Lonchura striata: one gene and its partner. The protein of the gene in region 1 interacts with the protein of each later gene in a biochemical or structural test. Links are inferred from orthologs where the notes say so. Each region holds a gene or a part of one and is shown in the gene's direction. Other genes may lie near its edges.

Region 1 (14,688 bases):
TTCTTTTCTCAGGACAAATACTGATGAATTCATACAAGGTTTTATCAATTTTTTAGCATTGTAACATCACCACCTTCTTGCTGAAGCCCTGTTTCATTTCCTGCTCTTGTTCTCAGCCATTGCTCCAGAGGAGCACACAAGGATTGCCCCTGCTGCTGGGTTTTAGGAATGAGCTGGCAATCTTGCAGATTCCCATTCAGTTGTGCATTTTTCACCTTATCCATCACTTCTTGTGGAAAGAGATGGGCATCTTATCTTCCTAGCATTTTTATCTGAACATGTTTTTACCAACACATTGGCTCATATTTGTAGAATCACAGAACCCTAGGATGGTTTGGGTTGGAAGAGACCTTAAAGACCATCTAGTTCCAACCCCGTGCCTTAGGCAGGGACACCTTCCACTACAGCAGGTTGCTCAAAGGCCTGCCTAAATTGGCCTAGGACACTTCCAGGGATGGATGCCAAGATCCAGGTGCAGGACCTTACACTTGGCCTTGTTGAGCTTCATAAAGTTCACGTGGGCCAGCCCAATCCTGTCAAGGTTCTTGTGGCATCCCTTCCCTCCACACGTTGACAGCACCACTCAGCCCGTGTCCCCAGCAAACGTGCTGAGGGTGCACTGAATCCATGGTTCCTGTCTCTGACAGAGGTGTTAGACAGCATCAATCCCCATACTGACCCCTGAGGAGCACCACTCATCACTGGTTTCCACTTGGACATTGAGCTGCTGACCACAGCTCCTGCAGAGTGACCATCCAGCCAGTTCCTTATCCACCAACTGCCAACTTCACCAGACTGCCACAATTCCTCAAATACGATGGATAGTGGCTTAGCCACTTTATCCACTGATGCCTTCAGGCATGCCCATGGATGCATCTCATGAAGTTCCATGGATTTGTACACCTTCACAATCCTTAGATGCTCTGGACCTGTTCTTCCCTTACACTGTGTGGTTCTTCATTCCATTTGCCTTCTGTGACTTAGTTGGTATGGCTGGAGCCCCTGCTAGTGAAAATGGAGGCAAAAAAATCATTGAGACCTCACCTTTCTCCATGTCCTAACCTGGGTAATCAGGTCTTCCATTTCCTTCTGAAGATGGCCCACATTTTCCTTGGTTTTTCTTTAATCATCAATGTACCTATAGAAGCCTTTTTTATTCTCTTTGATGTCCCTGGCCAAGTTTATTTCCATCAGGGTTTGGCTTTCATAATCTGACTCCTGGCTACAATTCTGTCTATATTCCTTCAAGGCTACCTGTTCCTGCTTCCACCCACTGTAGGCTTCCTTTTTCTGTTTGATTTTGTCCAGGAGCTCTTGGAGGCTTTTACTGATGATTTTATGAATATACCAACCCTATCAGATGCTAATACTTAGGGCTGTTACCAGTTTAGGATGATTCTAAACCATGAACAGGTAAGCAGTGGAAAGGTTTTATTTCTTTGCAGATATGCCAATACCCTAGTACAGTTGTTTTAATAATAATAATTTTAAACATTGCAAAGCTGGCATTTCCCCTTCATCCACTGGTGTAGTCACAGCAGAATGAATGGATCATTGTTAGAAGAGTCATTTCCCTGCACAAAGCAACCTCTATTCACAATTGTAAGGTTAGAAATGTTCAACCAGTCATGACATTTAAATAAAATGATTGTCTGAGCATCTCTTGGGGTTACAAATCATTCTCTCTCTAGCTGGTGCTACCTGTCCTTTATTATAAATCCACAGAATCTTTAAGACGGACAACAACTCTAATGGAAACAGTCTCTTGAAATATGATTTCTCTTCCCATGTTCAGAAGCAAAGAGCAGTTGTTTGTACCTTGAATAAAGATATTAGCTTTGTTTCCAGGACTAGAGACATGGGAGGAAGCTTAGAACAAAACCACAAAAATGTAAGTGGAAGCTTTTGAGAAACTGAGCTATGGGAACAATGAAAATTTTTGGTTAGTATCAGAGAGCAGTTGATATTTTTGGGATAGTTGATGTCTGAAGAAGTCTATGATAAAATTTACAGCTATTTAGAAGAGGAAAAAACCCAGGAAAGATAGAATTTATCCAGACACAGTAAGCCTAAGAGAAACAAGGCAAGTTTTACAAAGAAGATCTGACAGTAAAATGTATTCCAGATAGTAGAAGGTTGTTTTTTGAAAACTCTGAAAAAAGCCTGGTGGGGAATTTTTATTGGTCTTTTCCTACGTCTACTTATTTACACGCCCCAGAAAATGAATCCTTTCTTATTAACCAGTAAGAAAGCCCAGCATTCAGCAAGGATTTGAAAGTAGAGTCTCCGGCAGTACATTTTAATGAGTGGTATTCTTGGAAAGCAGTCAGTTGACCATAGTAGCTGAATCCCTGACTGCAGCACACCAGTCAGTGTCAAACACTCGGGATAAGTTGTTTAGAAATAAACCTGTGACACAGGAAATAGGGTACGAGGTGGTTCTGTGCTGTCTGAGGGTGGAAGGAGCTGGAGAAAATCCATCACTGTTTATGTGGTTGTATTTGTGACACATGGGAGCTGAACTAACAGAGGAAGTGGAGAATAAATAAATACTCAGCGGAGAGAGTGATTATGGTTAAAATGCAGATCCCTAGTCCTGGAAGCGTGACTTAGGGCCAGTTGCAAGGAATTCCTTCTCATTGATTATTTTATAGAGTATATCTACATTCTGAAATAATTTCTAGCTAGTTATAGTAATAATAATGGCATGTGTTAGCATTGTAATCTCTTAAGAGCTCATATGTCTTTTTATAGAAACATTAATTCTTTTGGCAAAAAAATTTTGTGATGTTCTTTCTAAAATACTGAGGAAGAATATTTTTGCAACTGCTGCTTTGTATATTTTGGGTCTCATGCATGATTTATCACTTACTAAATTTGAAATCCAAATTATGGAACTGGCTATAGCTATTGCCAGAAAGCAGAATCTGCAGTGCTGGAAAAGGACTAAAAAGGTTATCATCTGACTAAGCTGCAACCTTTCTTGGAACAATATTTGTATTGTAGGTTACTAACCGCTTTGCAATCCACAGGTGCTCACTCACAATAGCAAAAGTGTTGTAATTCATCTATAATCAGGACATTATTTTTACTGCAAGTTATTCTGACTTTGCAGTCAATGGAAACTAACCAGCTATAGTAAAAGTGTTGTCATTCATCTATAACTGGGACAGTATTTCCATTGTAAGTTATTCCAACTTTGTAGTGAATGAAAACTTACCAGCAATAGTAAGTGTGTTGTCATTCAACTAAAATAGAAGGGAGGAGAAAGGAGAAAGATGGACAAAATGCAGAATGTATCTGCAATGGAGTATGAGTAAAATAACCCCACGGTAGTGCAAAGTAATGCTAAGTTGGTGAAATTCAGTGCAGGCTTCCAACTGAAAGGCTACACCATTTCCTTTGGCATCTGCCTGCCTAATCTCACACAGGATAAAGGGGTACAGTGCAGTAAATGTGCTCTGGTGAATTCAAACCTCAGCTGGGGTTGTAGAAGCTGCTTGCAGAGCTCAGTGCACTTTAAGGTAGAGTAAGTAAGATAAGTAATACCTGAGTATTTAAAGCTACCATAGACATGGGGGACTGCAGTGTAGACATCCCATACATAGCTCTTCTGGGCAAGAAGCCTGCCCTTTTTTATGCTACAAGAGCACTGTAAGTACCTAACAATTATTAATAATAACTTATTAATAACACTCCGAATCTTTGGCTGTGATCGAGTACCTCAGAGAATAACTCATCTAGAGTTGTAAGAAAAGATAGCTCAAAACAATCTTAACTAAATCCTGGGCCAGCTTTGTGCCTTGACTTTGCTCCAGCAAAAGATAAAGCAGCAGAGTACAATTTGTTCTAAGACATTAGCAAGAGAGAGAGAAGGACATAATGAATACATTTGATTGGTAATGCATAAGAAGTGGTGGCAAACAAGACTATTAGGGGATAAGAGTATAAAATTAGATGGAAAGGAAGAGATGAGATTGGTCAATTCCACTAGTCCTAAATCAACATTTCATCTCAGAAACCACAAAAGTCAGCAGCTGAGTGGAGGCAAATGAAAGACTAGGGTCAAAACAACAATCATAATTTATCTTAGTGTCAGAAAAGCATTTTTACACTAAGTACACAACACATCGATTTACACTTGATAGACAGTACTTACACAAAAAGAGACTTCAACCCTCACTGAATAGCCTGCAGCACAATACAAATTCTTTTCATGGTAAACCTAGGGGGGGAAAAACAATCCCTTTTTATACAAGGAATTTTCACTTAAGTATTTGAGTCTACTAGGAACAGCCTGAAAGACACATACCACTCACATCTACACAGGCTTGTGGTTCGATGTGCTGATGCTGTTTGACAGTGTGGGGGGCACTTTTAGGAACCTTGGGGGAAAGAAGCATGGCAGAAAGCTACAGCTGCTGTTTTCATTCCTCTTTGGAGGTGCCTGATGGAAGATCTAGGAGTTGTTTACTTGTACAACGAGGAGCGGAGTATGCTGGTAGGAAGACCAAGTTTCACCTTTGGGAGTCAAAGGACTGTGTTTGATAGCAAAATATTTGCTTCCTTTGCTGGTGATGTTGTTTTGCCTTTTTTACAACAAAATAAAAATATTATTCCTTTAAGAAAAGACCTTCTTGGCTATTGTTGTTGTTATCTGCTGAGTCATGCCAATATTTGTTTATTTTAGCATTCCTAGAGAATTTTAGAGATAGTTTACTCCCCCTTCCCCAGAAGGCAGTTAGGAAAAACTGTGTAATTTCATAAATAAAATAAAACTAAGGAGTTTTTAGTTGAAAGCATTTCCTTTCATGGTCTGCTATGCAACAGTTCAGCAGTTGGCTGACTCATGGTAACCTGAAATTGAAAATGACTTGGGGTTGAGGGAAAGCAAGAAGAGGACAGGAAGAGTTATGCTAGCTAGTATACTTTAACTATCTATATAATAGCTGGATCTTCATTTTGTTCAACTAACCATGACCTCAGAGAATTGGTTCAGGCATCAGCTCTGTGATCCAAAGCAAAAGATATATTTATAAATTAGATTAACATAATCACTGATGAGAATAATATGTTCAATTACTTAATTCACTTCTGTTTTGATAAACTTCAATGCTACCAGAAGCACACTGTCAGAGCTATTTTCTTTTAGTCCACCATTTTTGGAAAGCCCTTCACTATCTCTGGAGAGAAAGCTCATGCTTTGTTGTTGCAACTCTCTCACTTCTATTATATAACAAATTGTGTTTTCTTTCTATACTAGTTCTATAGAAAATAATCCAAACAAGTGAAATAAAGTATCTCTTCTTATGTATTCAAAAACCAAACTTTGGATGTATTAAGTGAAAAGAACAATAACCCTCAAAAAGCCAAAACCACCAGAAAAAACAATACTTTCCCCTGTTCCAGAAACTTCTTTGACTATATCCTGCATTATGTTATTTACAGTCATTGAAGAAGGCCAAAGTAATCTTGCATATGAGCTGCTGTCCTAGGACACTGACCTTTGTAAGACATATGAAGATCTCAGCTACTTTTTGCTTTCTAAAGAAACAAAGACTGGAAAGTGGGAGATTGTTTCAGAGAAGACAGGGGAAATCACACTGTGAGAGAAATAATTACTCTGCTTTTTGAAGCTTTTGGATTCCCTGAATGTCTCCAGAACATTAGAACATCATGCATCTTCCTCATGACCCTGTATTAAGGGTTATCCAGACTGGTGAGATGCGATGGGATCTGCTGGGTTTGCTTGGGAGTAGCCTACCAAGCTGTCCCCACTCTTGCATTTGGGTGATATGAAACAGGAACACATCCTCTTCTGGTTTATGCATGGGTGAGCCATTTCTGTAGCATTCAGAAAGCCTTCACTACTCAGGTTGTTGGGAGAGCAAGCACACCGTACTGCTCAGCCAGAGCTGGCTTAGCTTTTGGAAGCACCTGAATTCCAGTCCCCACTTGCAGCTGAGCAGCAGAAAATGCAGGAGGGAAGAATGCAAAGTGGTTTTGGGGTATTCTGAGCTGTTTGGATCCAGAGGAAGAAGGGCATGAACACAATCCTTGGACACTGATTAGAAGAACCATTATGTGGCTCTGCCTTGTAGGTTGTCACGGGCCTCAGGTTATTAGTGTGACACCACCAGCTAAGAAGGCTTTCTGCCACTTTGGTTTTGTCATTGCCAGAAGAAGGGAGAGCAGTGGGAGAGGATGCAGAGGGCATTGACACCCGTGCTGTGCTGCTGGAGGATCCTGTCAGTGAGAAAGGTGACAGCAGAGTCATGCCAAGTGACTTGGACACAGGACACACTGAGCTATTACGGCTTGGGAGCATGTGGTCTGCTACGAGAGCAGGCAGATTTCTCAAAGCATAATTCAGTACCATAAACAGGTACACGACACTAACTCCTTCTTCTGCTAGACTACTTTAATTTCTCAACAATAACCTCACTAAATTGACCTGGAAAGAAAGAGGCATTCAACGTTTATAATTTGATTTCTGCCCTATATAATTTTGGCTCCTCTCCTTCTCATGTAGCTGCTAATATGAGTTACTGCAGATTTAGTATTTTGTTACAGATTAATTCAATGGGATTTTTGACTAAGCTAGCATCCAAAATGACTTTGCACTTGGTGACATCTGCGATGCCAGCATGCAAAATGATTCTTCTGGCATTTTTACAAATTCTATTGTACCACTGAGTAGGTCTTGAGAAATCCAGCTATGACCATATCTGATTTGGCTAAGAACACCTTGTAATATAACACAAATAGCGATAATAGTTATTTTGCAGGAGTAAAAGCTTCTGGCTATTTTCATTCCCTCTCAGGCAGACCTGGAGCCCAGGCATACTTTTAGTGGTTTTTATATACCTGTCACAGTCAAAATTCTTTTAGGTTTGACTAATAAGACCAGACAGTTGCATCAGGACAGTCACATTATGATTCTGATTTTTTCTGTTATAGAATAACTGGTATCTTTGAACAAAATCCTTCTTCTCCTGTCTCTGCCATTCCTTCTACTGATATACCTGCTGAAGCCCATTAGACATACATCTTAGATGCATCTATATAGATACAGACTTTAACAGTTCTGCTTGGCTGCCTTCAAGAGCTTTTTCACTGCCAGAATGGCTTTCTTTCCAAACCTTTTATTTGGAGGATGTTCTGGTAATAGGAAGCCCAGATCTTAGAAAATTCATTATGCCTTAAGAACTGAGGTCCACTGCCAGTCACTAGAGTCCTCAGCATTTGCTGAAAGCAATTACGGTAATTTTATTTACCAGATCCAATTGTGTCCCTTTTTCAGACTGTCTTTACATTGTTCACAAAGGTACACACTTTTTAAGATCACGATGTCGCTTGTCTTCTGATTACTCATCTGCATTTTGTGATTCACCTTTACTGCAACATTTTCATTGACATCATCCCTATGCCAGTAAAAACATGTTTTCTTACCAAACTATTCTTCATTAGCTTCAGTTTCAGAGCCTGTCCTTGTTCCCAAGTTAGTGTTTTCTACTAACAACTGGCCATTTTTTTTCATTGATTAGTTCATCTCTTACTGTGCTACTGACACCATTAATTGACAGAGTGTCTCACTGATCAAGGAAGAGGTGGTGTCAAATAGCTGAGATTCATGGTAATATCCCCTTACATGTGTGGAACCTACATCAGAAATACATATATATTTTTAATTTTTTTTAAATATATCTAGAAGTCTAGACACTTATAAAGAAGATGTTTACACCTTTGTTTCTCCTGTATATTTTTACTACTAGACCCTAGAAACCATTGGTATTCATTAGGGAGAAATGAAATTGGAGGTGCAAAAGCACCAAGATGGCTTAACAACATTGGGAATTGCAAAGACATTTGCTCATCGCGTCTTTTAACTAAGACGGGAGAGAACGAGTATTCACTCGCTAGCTGACAGAAAAGAGCCGAACACGAGCTGGGTTAAAGAAACTTGTACAGTCCGCTGCGGGCACCGAAAGCGGAACGCAAATCTGCATTTAGGACAGGCGCGGGGCTACCGAAAGATGCAGAAATAACATTCCTGTATTCCTGAAAAAGGCTCAGGCCACTGGCTCCCCGGGACACCGAGGGGCCGCCGCCCGCGGCGCTGTCGCCGGCCGGTACCTGCGGAACTCGGGCAGGGCGGCTCGGGGCTCCGTGTCCCGGGCACCGGGCCAGGGCTCCCGGCCGGACAGAGCCCGGTGCGGGCAGCGTGGGGCAGGGTCAGCGGCCGGGGGGAGGCGTTCACACGCCGGGCTCCGCCGGCCGGGACGCGGCTCTCCGGGAGCCCATCCCGCCCCTCCGCCCCGGGGCGACTCCCGAGGCCGCCGGGGAGGACCGTGCCTCGGGCGGGGGCTCTCCCGAGGAGCCGCCACCACACCTGCGGCCGCCCCGTCCCTCCACCCCCGCCACCCCGCGCCGGGGCCGCCGAGCCCCAGCGAGCCGCCCGGGCACGGCGCGGCGGTGGGCGCGGCCTCCTCCTCCGCCGCCCGCCCCTTCCTCCCTCCCTCTTCCCCCCCGCCCGCCGCTCCCACAGCCTGGCCGCCGCCGCTCCCGCGGCCCCGCCGGTGTCTCCGGTCGCCCCCGTCCGCCCGTTCTCCTCCTTCTCCGTTCCCCCCGCCCTCCCGCGCGGTGGTTCGCTCCTCCCCGCCCCTTTCCCCCACCTCTCTCGTCCCCTCCCACCCCCGGCTCCCCGCGGTGGTCTGGCCCGGCCCGGCGGCGGAGGGAGCGGCGGAGCGGGCGGGCGGGCGGCGCTGCCGGGCGGGGGTCTCGCTCTCCGGGGGTCTCGCTCTGCGCGGACGCGGCGAGCAGCGGAGCGGGGCGGGGGAGACAGCGCAGCGAGCGAGGCAGCGGGAGCGGCTCCCCGACCGCGGGCAGCACCATGAGGTGAGCGGCCGGCTCCGGAGCGGGCGGCGGGCGCGGGTTGGGGGGCGATGCTCCGCGCCCCCCGGCTCGGCCGGCGCACGGCCGGGAACGGGAACGGGCATGGGGGCCGGGGGGATCGGCCGGCGACGGGGGAGGGGGCCGGGCCGAGGGGAGCCCCGCGGTGGGGGAAGGGCCCATTGTTAGTGGCGGCGGGGGAAGGGCGGCCCGCCGTCCCCGTCCCCCCGCGGCGGCGGCGAAGTTGCGGTCGGGGGGCGGCGGCGGGGCCCGAGTCCGGGGCGGGGGGCGGCTCCGCTCCGGCGCCTCCCCCGGGCCGGGCACGGCGTGAGCCCCAGGCGCCCGTCTCCTTTCTTTCTCTGCCGGTGGTGATTTTTTTCCCCCCTTTTCCTCCGCCTTACCCGGCGCGTGTTGCATTGCAGCAGCAGCTGGGCTTTTCCCTCGGTAATCAATAAAGAGGCGCCGGGGGGAAGGAGGGAGGGGGGATCCCCCTCTCGGCAGCCGGGGAAGTGCCGCGTTCGGAGGTTTGGGATGTAAACACAGAGGTGGCCGCGGCTGGGGGCGGCAGGGAGGGAGGTGGGTGCCCGCCGCCTTCCCGCCGGGAACTCCCGCTCCCCGCCGGCTCATTCATTTGAAGGCGATTTTCTGCCTCCCCGGCCCGTCCCCCCTTCCCCCCGCCATCCTCCCCCCGGCTCTCCTTTAGCGCCTGTTCTGTTTCCATAATCTCCTTTCTGGATTGGTGCAGGACCCGGTGAGAAATGCGGCTTGGTGGCCGAGCGCTGGTCTGGCTGCCCGGGGACGCCGTGCTCCCTGCAGGCCTGCCCCTCGCTCAGACAGCTGGGGAAACGAGTTACTCATGCCTTCCTTTTTTTTTTTTTTTTTTTTCTTTTTTTTTTTCTTTTTTTTTTTTTCTTTTCGCCTGGAAGTTATTGTCTGCCTTGCAGTTGGATATGAACCTTCTTTGTCTTAAAGACACGACTGTAAGTCGTGAGGTCCTTTGGTGTAGAGATCCGGCAAGATCTGCGTGAGCAAAGTCGGCAAATTCCTCTGCTGCATAAAACTGATGAGCCATTAGATTTCCTTGTCAATTGCAGGAAAATCCCAATAAATTTTTTTGTACTGTGAGGATTCCCTCTTTCAGTGCACCTTCAATAGCGTTGCAGCGGGAAGCATGGGAACAATCTCCCTGTTGTTTTGTTTAGAATTGTGTTCTTGTATTTCCCTCTGGTTTTCTTTGTTAACTGTAGGTATTTATGTCTTACGTTATTTTAAGCTTTGTTTTGTCTTGTGATAATTTATTTTCAGTTATTCATGTTGCTCATGTAGAAGTCAGATACCCTGCAAGTGAAAAGTTACAGCTTGGAAAACCTATACCTAAGCAGAGGTGTTCTTTTTAATTATCTTGACACAGCCTTTAGCACAATGAATGCTGCTAATCGAGCAAGTCTTGGCATAAATAACCTTGGGAAGCCCCATGTAAGTTTGGGTTTCGTGCTGGCAAAAAGTGCTTGAATTGTGGGGGTGATGCTGAGTGAAGTGAGCTATAGCAGCAAGACTGCTCACTGTTCTCTGGTGTAACTGTATGTGTGCTAGGACCAGTGCCAGCTTGGAGGGAGCACAAGTATTTCTCTTAACCAGCACAACAGGAAAGTGTCTAGGTTGAACCTACCCTTAGGTTGCTTATTTAGGTGTTTGAATAGTTGACTTGCAGCAGTGAGTAAATGTAGGTAAATGAATATTTTACTGGCCTTGAAGCTTTCTACCCACTCGTGCCTATAGAACATCAAGCTGGCAAGGGGGAGAGGCAGTTGTGATTTGGAGGGTTGCTCTGGTGAGTGGTCATGGGGTGTTTCAAAGGAAGCTGACTTCCAGAACCCTTGGTTCCAACCCTCTGGAAAAAAAGAAACAAGCTGTACCAATTAAACTACACAGGCTAAAAAAATGATGTGCTTAAAGAAGTATTTTCTCTCTATAGAGGCACTATTACATTCACTCAGTTTTGTTTAATTGGTCCGACTCCAATACAATGGCAAGCTTTCACTGCATACTCTCTCGTTGGACTTGTTTAGACTATGGTTGATGGTATATTTCTGAAACATGTTTAAACAATATCTTCATGCTGTATTTTGTTCAGGTAATGACTTTTAATGCGCATTTGCTGGTCAAGGTGAGGTCTGATGGGTGAGGAGTGACAAGCAACCAGTATTTCATATACAGCTCCAATGTTTGCACGCACTGTTAAATCTTAGCAGTTCATACTAAAAATATACTTTTGGCACAATATTGATGGTCTTGTGGAATGAGTAAACTGCATTCTGTCATTGCTGTTGGGCAGGTAAGTATGCAGTTGTTGCTCCAAAGAATAAAAAAAAATACATAGATGAACTGGGGCAGGGTTGGGGGGGGGGAGAAGCACTCTCACTTTCTCCCCTGTGGTTTGGCTGTTCTTCGGCCATCATGAGCCTGAACTAATTCTGATGATTTTGTGTTAAGATCTTGTGTCTTGTCTGGGTGATTAGCTGGTCAGTTACCCAAGAGCAAACTGGTTTTCCTTCTGTCAGATAATACTAAACATCCTTGTGAGAGCATCTTTGAATGTTAAAACAATCAGCAGTTCTGTAAGACACAAACACTGACACTACACAGGAATTAATTCTTGCAGAAGTCTGCTTTGTATTCAAATTGAAATGATATGCTATTTGAATAACATCTGTTAGGGGTTTTAGGTTGCAGAGAAACTCTGAATATTAAATATCCCAGTTAAATGGTCTAGCCTAAGTATGAAGTTACTTGGTTCAGGAGCTAGCTTGAATAGGGCTGTATCTGTGTCTCCTGCCCTAGGTAAACAGCTGATTCCCATGAACACCTGTTGCTCTCTTTGTACTCAGGGGCAGCACTTTTGTCAGCTAACCAAATCCTGTTTCCTGAAAGCACTTATAATACAATAGGTATCCAGGAATGGGCATCTTCAGTGAAGCTTCCATTTACCAGCTGACTGGAAGGTGGTGGGGGGAAGATTCAGGTAACAGCAAAGTTTGGTGCCCCCGTTCTAGTAACAGCATGACTTCCCATCGTATTTGTACAAGAAGTGCGTGTGTGAACAGACTTTTATTGTAGCATATGTTGAAGTCTGTATTACAGAAGCTGGTAAACACAACTCTGCTGCTAGAGCTGGGGTTTTACAGTGAAGATTAACGGAATTACCTTCATTTTTTTTTCCTATATCAGGCTCATTTTGAGTCTTAACTCCAATAAAAATAAATGAGCTTTACAAGATACCGACTTTTTAAAAATCAAACTGTACAGCCTTCTCTTGGGATTACTACATTCATTTCTTTGTGTGGGAAAGAATTGTTTTTCATTAGTGTGCTGGTCAGAAAGCAGACTGCTTAGTCGGGTTGCATTACCCAAGTTCCCAAGAACTGGGAAAGAAGCAGTATTTTTAAGAAATTTTCAATTCAAATGTTTCCAGAGCCCAGTATAATAAATTGTGTTTATGATGGGCTACTATGGATATCGTATATAGGTGAATTTCATTCCATGCTTAGATAGGGCAAACAGCTAAATTACTATAAATTTTGCCTTTTCTGAAAAGTCATGTTGTATTCTTGCTTGTGTTTTCAAGCTAAAAAGGTAGCTAAATTTGTGGTCTCTAAACCACACTGAAATTTCTGTTTACTTACAATCAGCAGCTTTTCTGCTCAAATATGTTGCTACAGAATGCACTTCACGTTATTATTTAAAAGTCAGCATATTTTATGCCTGGGCTGGTAAGCCTTCATTATATTTTAAGTGTTGTGCTAAGAAAATGAATACAATACTCACTGTTTACTGAGTGAAAGCCCACTGCACAAGTAACAAAACATGTACCTTCATTAGGACTAGGAATGCTTGAAGGAACCCACACGCATTTCCTGGGGTTTCCACCAAAGTGGGTATACAAGAGCATTATTAGTGACAATACTACAGTTCAGTCTGCTGCAATAACTGCAGTTATTTAAGGTAGTGAAATAGCACAGCAGCAAGACCATCAATTTGATGGTGACATTAAGTTATTCTTGGATACGTAAGGTAACTCTTCGGAATTGTGGCTTTAGTTTTAATACTTGCCCGAATGGTGTATTTGAAATAGGAAGCTTAATTTAGTTAAGAAATATTTGACAAAATGTTGGAAGTGCAAGCAGGCAGTTAAATTAGACTGGATATGCATAACTGCAAGCAGTACAGTTCCTAAAATTGCTTGTATCTCAAGAGAAAAATTGGAGTTGTGGGCAGGGTTTTTTTTTCAGGTGGATACAAGAATTCAGGTTACTTTCCTTGTTCTTAAGTACACTAACAGATGGACTGAGTCATCTGTCTGATAGAAGTGTGGTCTTTAGCTTGCACTTTATTTGTGACAGTTGCAAGTAATTTTTGGACAGGCTGTTTCTGCCCACCTGATACGGCATCTGACAGCTGTTTTGCCCACAAGGCCTCTGGATAGTTTAGTGAATTATTTTGATAGTAAAACGATAAATCTTTAAAAATCTGCCCCATGAATGGAGAGTGCAGGAATGAGAATCCGTTTTTTTTTAGACAAAGCTATTTATGACCATCTTGGCAATTATGTTGTCAGCCTCTAAAAATTAGAAACAGTCTGGGAGTGTGTATAATTCAGGAATGCTCTCTGGAAGGGCATGTACAAGTTTTTTCTTGACTCTGGTTCAGGGTTTCATGTTTGCTGTTGGAGGTCAGAAAACAAGAGCGAGTTAGTTGGCATCCTGCTTCGGGCCACTCTAGCCTAAAAGCCTTTTTTCTCCACTTCCATAAAAAGCAGAAACATTTTTCTCCCAGCACCTGTTTCAGTGGATGCTTTGCCCTAAGTGACGTCTCTGGTGCTGCCTTAGGCATGTGATTGGAAATACTTTGTAATGAGGGCTGCCTCTTGCCATGCCAGGGCAGCTCATGTGGAACTATTATAGAAGTAGGTTATTGAACCACTGGATAGAGTCATTTGCTTTCATTACTAGAGAGAGCAAATGTATTTTGTGAAACAGATATTATTCCCTTCTTTGCTTTGACCTTTCATCTAGAATTGCTTTTGACAGTTCATGCCTGCTTCCACTCAGCAGTGGAGAAATCCACGTGCCAGCTCTTTAAACATCCAGGCATGTTTAGGTTTGGAGAGTGCTGTAGTGGTGAGAGAGAGCAAAAGATAAGTGCTTTTTGTGTTAGATTAAAAAAAACCTTACTTCTAGTTGTAGCTCAAATTAAATATAGCAAAGACTGAAGTCACATCAGCCTTACTGAACTGTCAGCTGTGATGTTGGTTGGTGCCTACTTTGCTTCCCCACCCTACCTTGCCGTCCCTGGGAATTCAATACAACTATTTTGTGTTCTTGGGCTGTTAGAATCTCCCTTGGGATTAGTGTAGGAGTGAAGCTGCTTTTTACCTGCCTGTATTTAAACCTGCCAGGTGAGGAGCCACTGTTGTGTCTCTGCTGTGCTCTCCTCCCTTAACTTGCTATGGGTTCTCGCAAACCTGGAGAAGAACATAGTTTGTATGGAGCTTTTTTTGGTTGAATAACATACAGGAACTTTTTCCCATTTTAGAAACAGCTGCACCACCTTATTTTGCTTTTCAAATTTTCCAGCATGAGATACAAAAACGTGTATCTAAGTAATTGAGTCTGATTAGAAAATGCTTTGTAGCAATACTGGTTAGAGAGGAAAATGTTGAATTTTACTTCAATTACTCCTAATAAATTATTCTCCTAATTGCCAAACCTCTCCCCTGCTATCATGTATGACAAGTCT
Region 2 (15,344 bases), on another chromosome or scaffold:
ATAAGAAAAGATATCTAGTTGTGAGACATCTTTCAATTGATGTAAAAACCTAGATAGGCTCTACCTTACATATTGAAGAAATTTTGAGAAGTACAAACATGTCAAAATACAGAATGAAGAGTCAGAAATTTAAAGGGAAGTGATGGCACACATAATTATCCATCTCACATTCAGAATTATTTTAAAGAATGTTAGAAATATTTTTAATACTAAGTATGTATTTATTAAATGACACTGTTTAAAAAGTCCCCAACCCTTTAGGAAACACACCGGCCAGAAAGATACTATGGAATTATTATGGTTATGACCAAATAAATTAAAACATTCATAGCTAATGGTGACAGCAAATAGTTGAGCACAGCAGGAAGCTGTCATCAGTATTTTATATATTCACTTCTAATTGTGCCTATGCATCATTAAGTTTGTTCGTATTTGCATTCAGTGTCCTCTGAACCAAGTCATTTTCCAGTGGCATATATTCACTTTCACTGCAGGTAACTTTCATTACTGGTAATTAAAGGACAATTTTTACCGCATTATGCTACAGGAAACAAGAAGTGGTTGCTGAGATTGATTAATATCTAAACTAAGTTTGAGATGTAATCAGTCTCAGAGGCACAAGAGCTTATTCCTGTTATGTAATGAAAAGTAACAGGAACCCCCCTTTTGTTTTGAACATCCAAAGCTTACCCTTTAAATTCTGTTGGAATGCACTAGGTGGCCTGATTTATTTTTAAATGTTCCCAACACAGAATAGCTTCAGTCTATGTGTAATGACTTTTTACCCTCATTTCTGCACAGTCCATGTTTGAGCTCTGACTGGGACAATGCCAAGGAAGATGTCAATGTTATCTTAGCGTGGAAGTGATTTTCTAGTATACAACCACATCTGCAGGTTGCTGTGCATCCAGTGAAATCCCTTTTGCCTTCAGTGCTATTGAAGATGGTCCTTTTCAAACACTGCTCAACCCTACAGACTCAGCATTGCTTTCAGCTGAAGCTTTACTGTTTCACTGGGAGCTGGAACAGACCCAAGAACCGTAATGTGTTTTCACTTGCTGAAAAAAACCTATTATGTTGTCCCTTATTTTGCCATCCAAATACTGTGCTTGGTAATACTATCACTGCAAAATTGCTGTCAAATATTTATTTTTATTGGGGAAATAGTGCTCCTTCTGCAGTAGCATGATGTTATCATTTAATTATTTTTTCTTTTCTGCTTTGTGATGGAAAACTGCAATTCAATGAAGTATATATTTAAATGCAAAAGAGGCACACCAATTAATCAGTACAGAATACGAATGCTTTTAATCTGCATCAAAAAAACAGTGGTGCTTAGAAAAACACCAATCTTTTAAATAGAAAGAATATAAAAGTAATTCCTATCCATGCTCAGATTTCCTCAAATGTAATGAAAAATTGCAATTGTGCAATTAGATTATCTTCACAATAATATATTCTTTTAAAGCTTTGCATTATGCTAAGCACATCTTGATAAGCCTTTAATTTCTTTTTTTTTTAAGAATAAAAATGGACTTAAATAATTTTAATTGTTAAGAAAAAATCCACAGAGATAGCTCAAATGTTGGCTCTGAAACACAGATGTTTACTGTTATCTGGTTTTTGTTCATCCACTGTACCAAACACAGAAACTATGTACTGAGGATAAGAAATAAATTAGTCTGGGTATATATAGGGTAGGTTAGGTATAGCCATGAGTGTGAAGCAATCGATTCTGAGATGTGGATTAGACTAGGCTACAGCATAGTACAATCAGTTCAATTATCTGGGATCATAGGAGACTGGGAACTGATGGAGAAGAGAAAAACACAGGTAGTGGAGCTGCTCCAAGGACCACCAGAGGCACTTCAGTGAAAATGTACTTCAGCAGGAAATGTAGTCCAAAAGAGCTTATTAACTCTGTGTTCAGCACTAGGCAGTGCTCTCAAGGCATTGTTTGGTAGTGTTGCATGAATTTGCAAAGCCATCTTAGGCTCTGCTTCTCAAGGAAGCAGTTACAGTTCTACAAACCATGTCTGAGCCACTGAGTTTCCCAGGAACATTCTTGGTTGTGCTATTCTCATTGCCTTTATCAAACAGTGCAAAACAGAACAGAAATGGTGCTAAGGGTGTTTTCAGACTTCAAAACATTTTCCAAGACCTTAAGCAATGTTTTTCTTCCTGTTAGGGATGCTCACTCCAAAGAGCTGAGCAAGCATGACAATGCTGATATGGGCCATCTACCCTTTTAGTGCCTGCTTTCAATTTAGCGTCACAGGAGATTTGTCTTTGGGTCTGTGATATTCCCTTTCACTGCTAATTATGCAAATATTACTTTTTCCTGGACAAGGTGTCTATTTGCTTTTGACCAGAAACTCCACGTAGGGTGAAAAACCTTTTCCAGGAAAATTTTTATTTTGTATATACATATCAAAGAAATTCTTCCATTTTGAAGGCTTGCAATCCTCCAGCAAACAGCTATTAACTCAGGAAATCCCAACCTACCCTCTAATGAGTATGCCAAAATTGCATGGGTCTATTCAAAAAGCTGACTTTCACTCCATGCCTACCCCTTGCAATAAGATGGCTCTTTTCATATTTAAATTACCTTTCCAAAGCCATAAAATAAAAGAATGAAAAAAAATGCTAATAAAAAGGATTACTGCCAGAAGCCCACCTCCTGCTTTAAGTGGCTGCTCTAAAGTCAGCCCTTCCTCAAAATGTTCTTACAACAAAACAGTTTAGCTCCATTTGTTAGTGGTGTAAGAAGCAAGTCATCTTAGCATTTGTCACACAACAGCCATCTTCTCAGGTAGGTCTAGGAAAAGGAAATGGGCTCTCTGAGGTGGCTGCACCACCAGGGTCTAGATCCCCCATTTTTCCTATGTTTTTAGGGCAGTGGATGCCTTGACAGTATTTTGAGGTGTTAAGAAGATAAGCCTACCTTGTGATGGGCAGTTGGAAGTGACAGCAGCAGAAGGGACCTAGATTGGGAGCTGGGAATGGAAAATGGGAGAGGAATTCCTTGATTCAGTAAAAGTGGAAAGGAAACATCAGGAGACAACCGGATGGCCAAAGGCTGAGCTGAGAAATATGCAAGAATGAAAAGCAAAATTAAAGAGGCCAAAAGAACAAGGGATCCAGTGGAACACAGGAGGAGAACAACTGAGAGGACAGATGGAGAAAAGAGTAGTGGAGGTGACGGAAAAGGAAGATTGCTGACACCAGAGTACTGCTGAGGAATGAAGATAAGCATGCAGGAGGGATGAAGAGGAGAGAGTTTTATGAAAAATGAGGTTGAGACAGAAGGCAAATCCTGCAAGTGAAAATATATTAGAGGAGAAAGGTCATGTCAAAATACAGTGAAACTATTTATTTTTTGCCACTCTTATCTTGTGCATTCTTGAAGCTGCAATTTTCAGTCTTATTACTTCTGTGCTCCCCAGCAGCTCAGGCTGCCTAGCAATGCCTGGCTGTGCTGGCTGTGCTGCACAGAGCTCGTGGCTGCCTAGCAACTGCCAGGGGTCTGTGTTGGGGTCTCTGACCAGCTCAGGGATGCAGTCCTGCCCCAAACACCCCTGCTTCCCTGGCAAGCCAGGAAGCAGCATCTGCAGCTGTTAACAGCTGTGATGAAAACCTTAAAAATATTAATTGGGAAAAAGGGCACACGGAGGTGACCACAAAAGCGCAGAGTGCATGACAAATTGTCTCCAAAATGCAGAAACAACCCCATTCATCTCTGCAATACTCAGACAACCTGTGATGATAACTGAAATATCAATATGGGTAATTATTCTGGTTCTTAAATAAGGCTCTGTGCTAAAGCAAAGGAAAACAACCCAATGCAGCTAAGCACCTTCTTGGGCAGTTATTAAACAGGCGAAGGAAATATCAAAACAGCAAATTTTGGTACCAAGAAAAGAAAACATTGAAGAATATTAAGTATTCATAAAAGCTTGTCCTAGTACAGCCATACTTGTGTAACTATCATTGCAATCAACAAAAATTTTATTACAAGAAAATGAGACTTGGCATTTGGCAGCAGAGCTGATGTGGCTGATCTGAACAGCCCTGTGTCTTCTGTGCCTCCAGCTGCCCTCTCAGATCCCTCATCTCCCTTTCCATTGCACTGTCAGAAGTGCTTGTGCAGCTAAACCACCGAATCAGGAATTAATCCAGCAGAGAAATGGTCCAACAAAAAATAAAGGGTTATTTTCCAATCAACACTACTGAAGCAAGTACTGTTCGTTCCCAAGGGAAAAACAAAGACACATGCCAATCTATGGCCAAGGAAAGGGAACAGACAGTTACAGAGCTACACAAATTACAGTGCAGGAGAAGTTGCTGTGATACTGCTACTTTGCTGCTGTTCTAAACAGCACTTAGAATATAGTCACATTTTTCTTTCCAAGCCAAAAATGGCCTATTGTCCCAGAAAGATAGGATTGCCCCTGGAGATCTCATGCCCCACTGAGGAGGAGAAAATCTCAACGTAAAGTTGAGACATTGAGAGATATATAAGCACATTTTACTCTAGATAGGATCTCATTTGGGTGATTGTTTAGGTGGAGATTGATGGACATAATTACATGTTTTCCTCTGCCAGTCCAGCAGCCCAAGCCAGGAAAATTTTAATTCCCAGCTCTTTTGTACACTTGAAGTATCTTGTAAGTTAGGTAATTTATTTTTCTTATCAGCAGTTTATACCTGGTGCAATGAGAAAATGTCACAGAGTAAAAAAGCCCAAACTCAACAAAATAAACCAAAATGAAAAGAACAACAAAATAAAATATTTTCTGAAAAGAAACCCCAGTGAATGCAGTTTAGATGCACATTACTATCTTCAGCAAATGTCAGCTCAAGCCCAAACTTTATTGATTGTGGCTCAGCACTGGTTCTGCTAGATTTGCACTCTTTTAGGTGCTTTAGAATCACTTGGTGCACACCATGCAGACTCATGGAACCAGCTTCAATCTACTGCACCTGAGTCAATGCACCAACCAAGAGCCTCAGACATGAGGAACACCCTGCAAAGACACTCAAGGGATCCTGCAGAGAGTTATTTAGAAAGAAGGAGGACTAGCATGGGACAAAAGCTAATAAGGCCTGCTGATCTTATCAGTTGGGCATATCCACACCAAAATTCCCAGTGCATCTTACACAGTGTGGCCCTCACAGCAGCACTGCCATGCTTGTATGGCACCCAGATGACAGGTCCTGCAGGAGTGGACCTGGTTTGGTTGTTTATCTACCCAAAGTCTAACCCGCAGGCATGGGGACAATGCCTGGCCGCGCCATGGCAGCTGCAGAAGAGCCTCATAGCTGTCACAAGGTGGCAACATTCGATGTGCTCCTCCGAGGTCTTCTTGAGTTGTGAGAACATTTTGCATTTTTGCTCTGCTGGAGCCGCTGCTCTGCTGTGCCAGGTGGATGCATCCCCGGAGAGCCCGCAGTGCCTGCTCAGTGCCTGTCCTGCCAGGACAAGCTTGCTCACGGGAGTGAAGCACAATACATTTAGCAAAACACGTGCCACTCATTTTGCTCATACTGAAAAAAGTTGATGGGCAAGGCCCCACACATCTGTCATTTCTTTTAGAGGGGCAGCTGTAACATTTTATGAAGAGCCAACAACAATTGTGCTACATTTGAGGATGTTAACAGCTTCCATGAAGTCAGTCTGTGATCTGTAGGCAATTAAAGATTCATTCAAGCCAATGGGTGTTAAGCAATTTGCAGCTAAAGTGAATAGAGAAATTGAATTAGTCTTTATTAATATATACAATAAGTCAATACTGGAAACAAGGAGAAGCCAGTGCCCAAGAGTAGTGATGCCTTGTGAAGGTTCACCTAGAACAGAGACTAACTAGATGGAGTTAAAGAATAAAGTAGGTATTTATTAGAAGACCTCAATGGATACATCTAGGGCAGTACAAGAGCCCAGCAACAGCTACACCCAAGGTGAACCCAAAATGGTCACAAAATGACAGGTCACAGGGTCTCAAACTTTTTTAAGTTCTGGTCCATTAGCATATTGAAGTTAATTGTCCAGTTACAGCTTTAGCTTATGAAGTCCCATCCTTCTTGTTTTTCTCTCTTCAGTCCACATTATTTATGCTCTTGGGCCTGAAGTTTGGATCATTTGTCCTTGGTCCCCAGCTAGAGAAGAAATTGTTTTGTCAACCTACACTGTGAAGAGAGCTTACTATCCCCTAATATGAAGCTCAGAAATGCACACTAAAGCAGCACATAATCTGAAAAATATAAAAGCTAAAACCTGAGGCATCAGGGGTTCTGGTCACACTTGCCCCAGGACACATTTAAAGCTTGCCAATATCTCAATACAAACAAACTGAATTAGCTTACATTAAAAGGAATCCAAAATAAAGTGTTTTATTGGACATACATGCTGCCCAAAAGAGAGCTATTAAAACCCCTTTGGAAACAATTTTGCTAAGCTGCCAAGTAAATTAACCATCAGAAGAGAGCAATGTAGATGCATTTCTATCCCACAGCAAGTGCTGCAAGTGTACCAGCTCCTTCTGCTCCTCAAAGAGCTCTCAAATACTTTTCTTGGTACCTGCCTGTCTGTTCCCAGACAGGAGTGTATTTTGTAACTCCAGTTGCAAAGAGTTTCCCAGTCCTGATGGTCCTTTCCAGGGTCCTTACCTTTCATCCTTGCTTCTACAGTTCTGGGCTGAGATACTGGACTTTGCTGACCACAGAGGTGAAGGGAGAGCTATTTTTTACCCTTGATTTAGAGAGAGCAATAAATACACCAAAGTATCCTGACCAGAACAGTGATTCACACAGGAGACAGACTACAGAGAACATGTAGAATGTCACATGATTTTGCAGAAATGAGGCAGTCTCCTCTTACTATAATGTGAGCTTGAGACTGCATTTTTCTGAAACATGCTGACTTTTTACCACTGTGTGCATTTCTCTAGGACAACCATTAAAAAACACAAGGACTAACTGTGTTTGTGTTTGTGACTGCGGACACACAACACATGGCAAGAACAGTGGAACCTTGGAAATGGCTTTTTCTGGGCCTGTTACTCATTGCAAGAGCAGGCATGGACATCTCAGCAGAGCAGTCACCTGCTGCTACTGGCTTCTCTCCTGGCACGATTGCAGAATCAGGATTTGGCTTACAAAAAAGACATGCAAAAAAGATTGTACTAAGTTATCACTGGACTTTTGTCTTCCATACTTTTGCTGACAGCCAGATGAGGCCTTGAACAATGATTAACAACTGAGGTAAATGAGTGGCAGGAATACTGTATTTATCTCAGCCAAATATTTAAGCTCTTCTTAAGAACCTAAATTCAGGAAATCACTGTTAGTAGTTATACTGGGCAGGCCCTGACTAAAATCTGCGTAACTTGGATTCAGTATTTCTCCCTCCCCCTCAGGGGGTAACTCCCTTGAAAGGACTAGTTGCCCCAAACCATGATCATTCTAACATCTTACCAGTCTTCTGTTATCTTTGGAATGGCCTGTCCAGGGAGGTAGTGGAGTCACTGTCCCTGGAGGTATTTAAGGAAACCCTGGACATTACATTTCGGGCTGTGGTCTAGTTGACATGGTGGTGCTCAGTCATGGGTTGGACTCGATGAACTCAGAGACCTTTTCCAACCTAATTGATTCTGCGATCTTCCATATTTTTAGCCTGCCAGATGGCCAGATAACCAGAGCAGTGCTTCCCTCCCAGACCCTTTCAGCCTCTCCTGCAGAACCGCTGCCTCTGGGCAGCACTGTGGGGCTGGGGCTTTTCTGAGCGAGGCGGGGGATGTACATCACTGTCTCCCCTCGTCTCTGGGGGAGACAGGACAGGAGCCGGGGGAGCAGGGCAGCCCAGCAGCCGGGGGAGCAGGCCAGCCCAGCAGCCAGCCAGGCCGGAGCACTCCGGGCCCCACCATGTCCCTCCGGCCCGCGGGCGGTGCCCACGAGCGGCGGCCGCCCCGCGCATGCGACCGGCCCTGCCTACAACTCCCGGCTGCCTTCGCACAGCGAGGGCGGGCTTTTCCTCTTTTTTCTTGGTTTGGTTTTTTTTTTTTTTTTTCTTTTTTTTTCCCCTCCCCTCGGAGGGGGAAGGATGGGTGGGGAAAGCGAGCGTTCACGAAAGCGAGGCGAGGAGGAATCCCACAATACCAGGCGGGTTGCGAGCCCGGCGCTGTCGCTGTCTCTTTAATGCAAGAGGAAGCGATGCGGAGGGGTGGAAAATGGCAGAGTTGCAGATGTTGCTAGAGGAGGAAATCCCTTCTGGCAAGCGGGCTCTGCTCGAGAGCTACCAGAACCTCACTCGAGTCGCCGACTACTGCGAAAACAACTACATCCAGGTAAGGGCGGCGGGGCAGCGCACCGGGGGCCGGCGGCGGGGCTCGGCTCTCCGTGCGGCGGCGGGGCCGGAGCCGCCCGAGGGGCAGCGGCGCCTGGCTGCCCTCGCCGCGGCTCCCGCCCCGCGGCCGGTCCCTCGGCTTTGCCTTTTCTTTCAACTTTCCCAGCTGAACGGCCAGGCTTCCCTTCCCCCGCTCCAGAGGGGAAGGGAGGGGGTTATTATGTCAGTCCGGCTCCGAGGGTGTGTCTTTTTTTTTTTTTTTCCTTTTTTTTTCCTTCCCCCCCTGTATTTATTTATCATGAGTCACATCCCGGAGACCTCCCAGGGGTGGGGGTGACCGAGGCGCGAGGGCCCCCGAGCCCTTCCGTGCGGCCGGCTCCGACCCGGTATCCCGGGTTTCCCCCCGGCTTCCCGGCGGCGGGGCTCCCTGCGGGGCCCGCGGACGGGCCTCGGGGCGGCGGCGGTGGCCGGGGCGGGTGCGCCGCACGTGGGGCGCGGGTGCCGGGCGGCCCCGCGCCGCGCTCCGCGGGGAGCGGAGGGCCCCGCGCGGGTGACATCACGGGCTCGGGGGTCCGCGCCGGCTCCTCCTGGGCGTGCGGGTCCCGGCGGGGCCGAGGCGGGCGCGGTGCTGCGGGGCCGCAGCGCTGCCGTGAGCGGCGTGCGGGGGCAGGCGGCTGCCCGTGGGCTGGCAGCGCCGTGCGGGCGTGAGGCGGTGTTTCAAAATGGCAATCTGTGCCTCTCGCAGCCCGCCCGGCTCTAGCACCTACAACAGGGATTGCAGACCGAGTCTCTCGTGCGGGAAGAGGCTCCTTTGGTTCCAGCGTTTCTCCACCGGCGGTGGGTTTTTTTTTTCCATCCCATAGATTGCCAATGCTTCTTGGACTTCTTTTAAGTCTGATTTTTCTGAAGCTACTTTAAGCACAATTTCCTATTATTATTTTTTTCAGGATTTACATCACGTGACTCTAAGTCTCAGTCTTTAGTCATACTGATCTGGATGCAGAACCATCCAGAGATGCTGAAACTCAGCTTTTTTTTTCTGTAAAAAATTTGAAGGGGAAAGGCAAATAAACTTTATTAACTAGACAGCTTGTAGAGTGAACTTGTTGAATGTAATACTAGATTACCTGTGATAAGTATTTAATATAGGTTACCAACATCTTTGGTATCCATTATTGCTGGTAAGCTGTCTTACTGTTTTTAGTTACGGAGCAGCAAATATGGAAGCACATCTTTAATAATACAAAGTGATTTTTTAATGAGATCTTTTAATTAAAACTGCTCTAACAAGCCATATTTTCAAGTTTTTTTTTTTTTTGTTTGGGTTTGTGTTTTTTGGTTTTTTTTTTTTTTTGGTATATGAGGTAGTATGAGTTAATGTCTATTTATGCTTCCGAGTTGTTTGCTCCACCCAGAGAAAGCTGCTGATATAAATGCTTCTAAGAGGCGAGGTTCATTTGGTTTTACTCATGGGAAATATGACAAATACATGAGTATGGTAATTGCAGCACAAGTTTTGACGTGTCTCTTGCTCCTGACTTTTCCCTATGTCAGAAAGGTGCAGAGAATCTTCAGCTACATCGTTTTCTTCACAGTCATAAAATTTGTCTTTTCTTACTTTCATCAAGCAAACCAAATAAACACAACACTTGAGCAAATTCCCATCCAGTCATTTGGGGTGGCTTTTCCTTTTCCTCTTTTTTTCTTTTTTTAATTTTTTTTTTTTTAATTTGGTAGCTCATTTTCACCTCAGGTATCAAGGTCAGCTAGATGTGGGATTGATGGGGTCTCTTTTATCTTTGTACAGCTGTGTACAAAGATAAAAGAAGGAAGGAAGCCGGAATTCTAAAAGTCTAACGCAGTCTTGTACAGTAGCTTTGGAAAATGTATATACCCCACTTGTATTTTACATGTATTGTACATTTGCTTAGTAAAAATGTATTGATAAAATTATGTATTTTTTTGTGTTTGATGGAGGTGGGTTTTTTAATCAGCACTTGCTGCAAAACCATCTGCTGTCCAGTTGGACTACTGAACAGATTATACTGCCAGTGCATGTGGTGGATACTGCTGGATTAGGCAGTATGACACAGGGCACTGGGTTATGAGATTTGGGTGTAGGAGTATGGTGGGATGGGAAGGGAGAAAAGGAAAGGAAGAGGCTTAACAAACATATAATACAAAATCTATGTGTTTGTTTAATGTGATTGAGCATTTTATAAAAAAGACAGACCAGAATAAAGAACCTGGCCATGAAGTGAATGTTGAAATACTTCACTAGTAGCTCCATTTCTTATCTGGTTGTATGTAGCTGGTTCAGTTCAGCCACTTTGAATTTGGAGTGGTTTATTTTTTTCTGTGGAAAAAGTGAAGTGCTTCATAGTGGTAAACATTACTGTGTGCTGTTACCCACTCTGAGTTGTGCCACTGAGGTGAAACAGGTTTGTCAGACTGTTCTGAGTGCTGGCACTAACAATTTATTGTGATTGAAATAGGACAATGAATTATGTTCTCTGTGTTATGGTTTATATTCTTTGCTGACTTAAGCAGGAAAGTAATTTCTTGCCACTGATATTGCTATATTCAAGCTATATATATGTATTTATTTGAAAATACAGAAATTTTGTTTTGTCTTTCTTAAGCTGAGAATAATTCTGGTAAAATTTCAGCCGTGCTGATTTCTTAAGGAAAACTTGTATTCAATGTCTCTTGAGATTCCTTAGGGTGGAAAAAAAAAAAAAAAAAAGAGCGACAAATGGGGGAAACACTCACCTGTCTGGAACTTACCTCCCTGATGGTGAATGTAGCTGTGTGGAGAGCAAGTATCCTTTTACTGGAGCATTTAGGAAAGATGACAGCATTTGGGAATCTCAAGTTGAAAATTGCTGTGCTCAGAAAAGCAGGAAGCAGTTTCTTGCTGAGGCACACTGTGACTATATCAGAATGCTGTCTGGTAAAGCAGTTTGCCCTCCAGATCATGTGTATTCTAGTTATCTAGGAAGTTTATTTGTTAGAAAGAGGAAAGAATTCAGGAGAAGCAGAGCAAATAAGCTTCTAAGGAAGACCTGCAGTGCTAAAAAGAAAATACAGTATAGTGGCAGTCTTAAGGGGGATGGGAGAAAAAGGGAGACAGAAAAAATAAAACCAAATATAGAAATAGTAACTGATGAACATTGTGATGTTTTGGTGGTGGTTTTGGCTTTGAATAGAAGGAAAAGGGCATTATAAGTACGTTAGTGTGTTTAATCTCTGACAGTATTTAAAATTTGTGATATTTCTGGCTGGAAGCTTCAATAACAAGCAGGTAGAAATTGAAATTCCTGTTTTAGGTCGGAGGCTTAAACTCCAAAGAGTTTTAAGAGCAGGTTTTGAACCTTAAATTTTTAAGGCATATTTTTGCCTTCTGGAATATTTTTATATATATATAGATCTATTAATTTAGAAAACTATTTTCAAAATAGAAGTTTTCATAGCTGGTGTCTTCCCCAAATCCTTTTGCCTTCAGGTATGTTCTGGACTAGCTCTTTTGGTGTGCTTGTAACCAAAAGGCTATCTGAAAACCTGTAGTACACAGCTGATGATGCTAGTGAGGAGTTTCATCAGTGTCCTAGACAGTATTAACTTGATCAGTACTACTTAATACAGAAATAACTAGGAGTTGAAGCATTTGCAGTTCTAGTTATGATTCTTCAGCTGAAAAATATGAACTTCCATAGAGAGCCACTAGTCATTTTTCTAGCTGTATTGAGTTATTTTGATGTTTTAAGGAACTTATTTACAGTAACTAGCTTGTGAAGCATTAGAATGACACAGGAAATCAGCTTGTGCAGTGTTACTGCACTGATGACTTCCTTTTGAAGAATTTCAGTTGACTGGTGTATCCCAGAGAGGCCTCTCTGTGCTACAAAACACTACTTACAACTCTCCTGTCTAAATCAAGTGTTCCTTATAACCTTGTTTATGCATATGCAGATATAAGTAGTTTTTGTCAGTCTCAAGCTTCTAGACCACTTGTGAAGATCCATTTTTAATTTTTGTTTTTAAGCTCAAATATAATTTTAAAATGACTATGAGAATCTCTAAACAAACAGCTTGCACTCCTTGTATAAATTCTCATCTTGATAGTCTCAAGTGGGTAGATTTAGCAGCTTTAGAAAAATAAATTGAGAGACCTTTTAAGGAAGTAAATGCTGTGTTGCCTAAATGTGTGTTTTTCTGTCATGTTACTTCCTTCTGTAGCTTCTGACTGGTATGTGGAAACTGAACGGTGAATTAAACAAGCTATTTTGGGTAAAACAGACAAAAGCACGGACAGATTTCGGTTTTAACTGCTATTGCAAAAAAATTAAAGTATCTTTCCAGTTGGTGGAAAAGTGAATGTGTGGCATTAAGCAGAAGTGTTGCATACAGAAAGTTTCATAAATATTTGTGTTATCTTCCAAGATGCATAGAGGAGCTATTTTTACTTGATAAGTTGGATGTTCTACACTTCTCTACTGTAGATATTTAATTTCCAACACTAATGAACCTTTTTTTGTGGATTTTCTTTAAACATTGGTAGCTGGTCAGACACTTGATTTCATTGCCTGGCACATGGAAAGTGGCTTAACTTAGTTCAGTACAAAGAAGTTCACTCAGAATGTCTAATTCAGGAAATGAGCTGCTCTAAAAGGATAAACTTCTTAAATTGTCACTAATACAAATCCTTTATGTGCTGTTAGAACTTGTATGCTTTTATGTTCCTAGGTTAATTAGTTTGTATTAAAAGTAAATATAGTAATTTTTTTCTTTTGCGAGTTTTATTGCTAGATTTTGAACATATAACAAAAAAGCAATTAAGTTCACTTTCTGTAACACCAGATATAGTACAAAATTATAGAACAATGAGATAAAATACAAATGTGTAATCTATTATGCTTTGTAGGTTTAAATAATATTATTTAAAAAAAGGTGTTGCATTATACTTTGAAATAATGTTCTTTTTAAGATTGTTTAAGCAGATGTTTGCCAGCAGTGTAAAAGGCACTGGCTATTTTGTGTGTGGTTTGAGGGTTTTTTTAAGAATAATAATATAGGTCCATGCTGGTGGGTTAGGATTATAGCTCTTCTGTGCCCTGTGTAGTTCTTCTATGCCTATGCAAGTGTCTTTGTGTTTTGGAAAATAAAGCTTTAACTTATAGACAGCAATAAGACTGTAGCCCAACTTCACTGAATCAGCAAGTGATTCCACGGAATTTAAAGAAAATGAAACCTAGGGTGTTGTATGTCTAATTTGTGTCCAGAGGGGGTAGATGATAAGAGATGAGCTTTTCCAAATTTGAAATGTTTCAATGAATTTTTGTATATTTGCCTTAAGAAGCCAGCAAGATGTTGTCTCCTATTCCTGCTCCATTCTTCATAAGTGCTACCTTAATCAGGGGCAGTAAAGTGGATTGGGATAAGCTTTTACAGGTGCATATTGTTTCTTCCACAAGGGAAGTGCTCTCCACCCCCTTCTGTTTGTGCATTGTTGGAAGGAAGAAGCTTGCAGGATGTCTGGGGTCAGTGTGTGCTGAGTGTGATCCTTGCTCCCCGTGCTGCTCTTGCTGTGCACAGTCCTCTGGAATTGTTGGAAAGAAGAAAGAAGTATGATTAAATGGGGCAACAATCTAATACTTCCCCATGGTTCTCTGGGAGGTTGTTGCAGTAAGTAGTGCTCCCGGTAGAGAGAAAATAGATGTTGGGAAAGTCTCATAAAGTGGAGGATGAAGGTAAGAGTACAGGAGCAGGCTAAATATGAGTAGGAAGTGTTGTACTTCTGAGGGCAAAGTTCCTGTTGGTATCTAATCTAAGTTTAACAGAAAAAAAAAAACCTGAACTCTGAAACAAAATAACTGATGCAACTTCCTTGATGCAAAGTATATTTGTCTAGCATTTTGAAGTGTCTTCATTTTATAAAAGCGTAAGTGGAGGCATGAAATTTGTAACTTGCTCATGGAAGGTCATATAGGGACATATTGTCAGATTTGGGAACAGAACCTGATTGTGTGGATTTCCAGTGCTGTTCCCCCTGCCACCCCACCCCTTTCCAGACTGCCTCTGTTAAACTGCAACACAGCCAAAAGTGGGTATGCACAGAAACACAGAGGCAGTGTAATGACTCTTTCGGGAAAATATGCACCTGAAACCATCATTGAACTCATTAGCAGAAACTACTTTTTAAGAATTTAACATATTACCTCTCATAAGAACCTTGAGATTCTAATTTTTTACTTTGCCAACCTCAGGAGTTACATAAGGCTCACAGTACTGTTTGTCTGCGTGTTGGTGGGTCTTGGCAGAGGCACGAGAAGATGCCGCTCTATTTCTCATTAGTGAAAGCAGTCTGTGTTTGACATTTTGGGTGACTGAAATCTTGCTTAGTTACAGAATGGTGGGGTGGCAGCTGTGTGGACAAAGTGTCAGTCCTGGCATAGTAAGACAGCCTTGAGGGATAAGGGGATATCTTGCTCTCTCTGCCTGTGTTCAGTCCTTATTTAGTGGCTTTCAGTCTAAAGAAGCGTGTGGTTTTTATTGTTACACAGTAGGAAATTGCTTGTGGGACACCGCTTACTCAGTGTCCAGGCTTGTTCATAATTACCTGAACATTCTTGCTCTCTTTAGCATCTGTGTTCCTTAGAGTGGTCTTCCTTTGATGCTGTTCCTTCCACCCCAATCCCAAATCTAAGCACTGGTGACAGAGGTGGGTGGGCTTGGTCAGAGGGATCCTCACCTCCCTCCACCCCTATGTGAAGGGAAGTGACTGTGGAATTTGAAATGGTAGATACCATGCCTCAGTCTGGTTCCTCCATTTTCCTAACCTTGCTGGTGAGGCAGTGGCCACAGACACGTGATGTCTGCTGTGGTTGCAGAAATATCCCTTTGCACTTCAAAACTTGCAGAGAGCCCTTGAGAGCCAAGACCAGGGTGCTGTGGAGAATAGGTCTCGGTGTACTCCAGAACACAGCTCTGAGCAAGATGGTAC

Evidence for each region.
Region 2: the proteins of ENAH (region 1) and ABI1 form a complex in vitro, tested with the Homo sapiens proteins (2 studies listed by BioGRID). The link is inferred for Lonchura striata from reciprocal best matches to the Homo sapiens genes ENAH and ABI1.

The regions. Positions count from the first base shown.
Region 1 is NC_134605.1:17,391,334-17,406,021, reverse strand, and holds the start of ENAH (protein enabled homolog), read left to right. Parts: upstream 1-8,728; 5' UTR 8,729-8,893; coding exon 8,894-8,898; intron 8,899-14,688. UniProt on the Homo sapiens protein: Ena/VASP proteins are actin-associated proteins involved in a range of processes dependent on cytoskeleton remodeling and cell polarity such as axon guidance and lamellipodial and filopodial dynamics in migrating cells.
Region 2 is NC_134603.1:140,613,273-140,628,616, reverse strand, and holds the start of ABI1 (abl interactor 1), read left to right. Parts: upstream 1-8,109; 5' UTR 8,110-8,225; coding exon 8,226-8,342; intron 8,343-15,344. UniProt on the Homo sapiens protein: May act in negative regulation of cell growth and transformation by interacting with nonreceptor tyrosine kinases ABL1 and/or ABL2. May play a role in regulation of EGF-induced Erk pathway activation. Involved in cytoskeletal reorganization and EGFR signaling.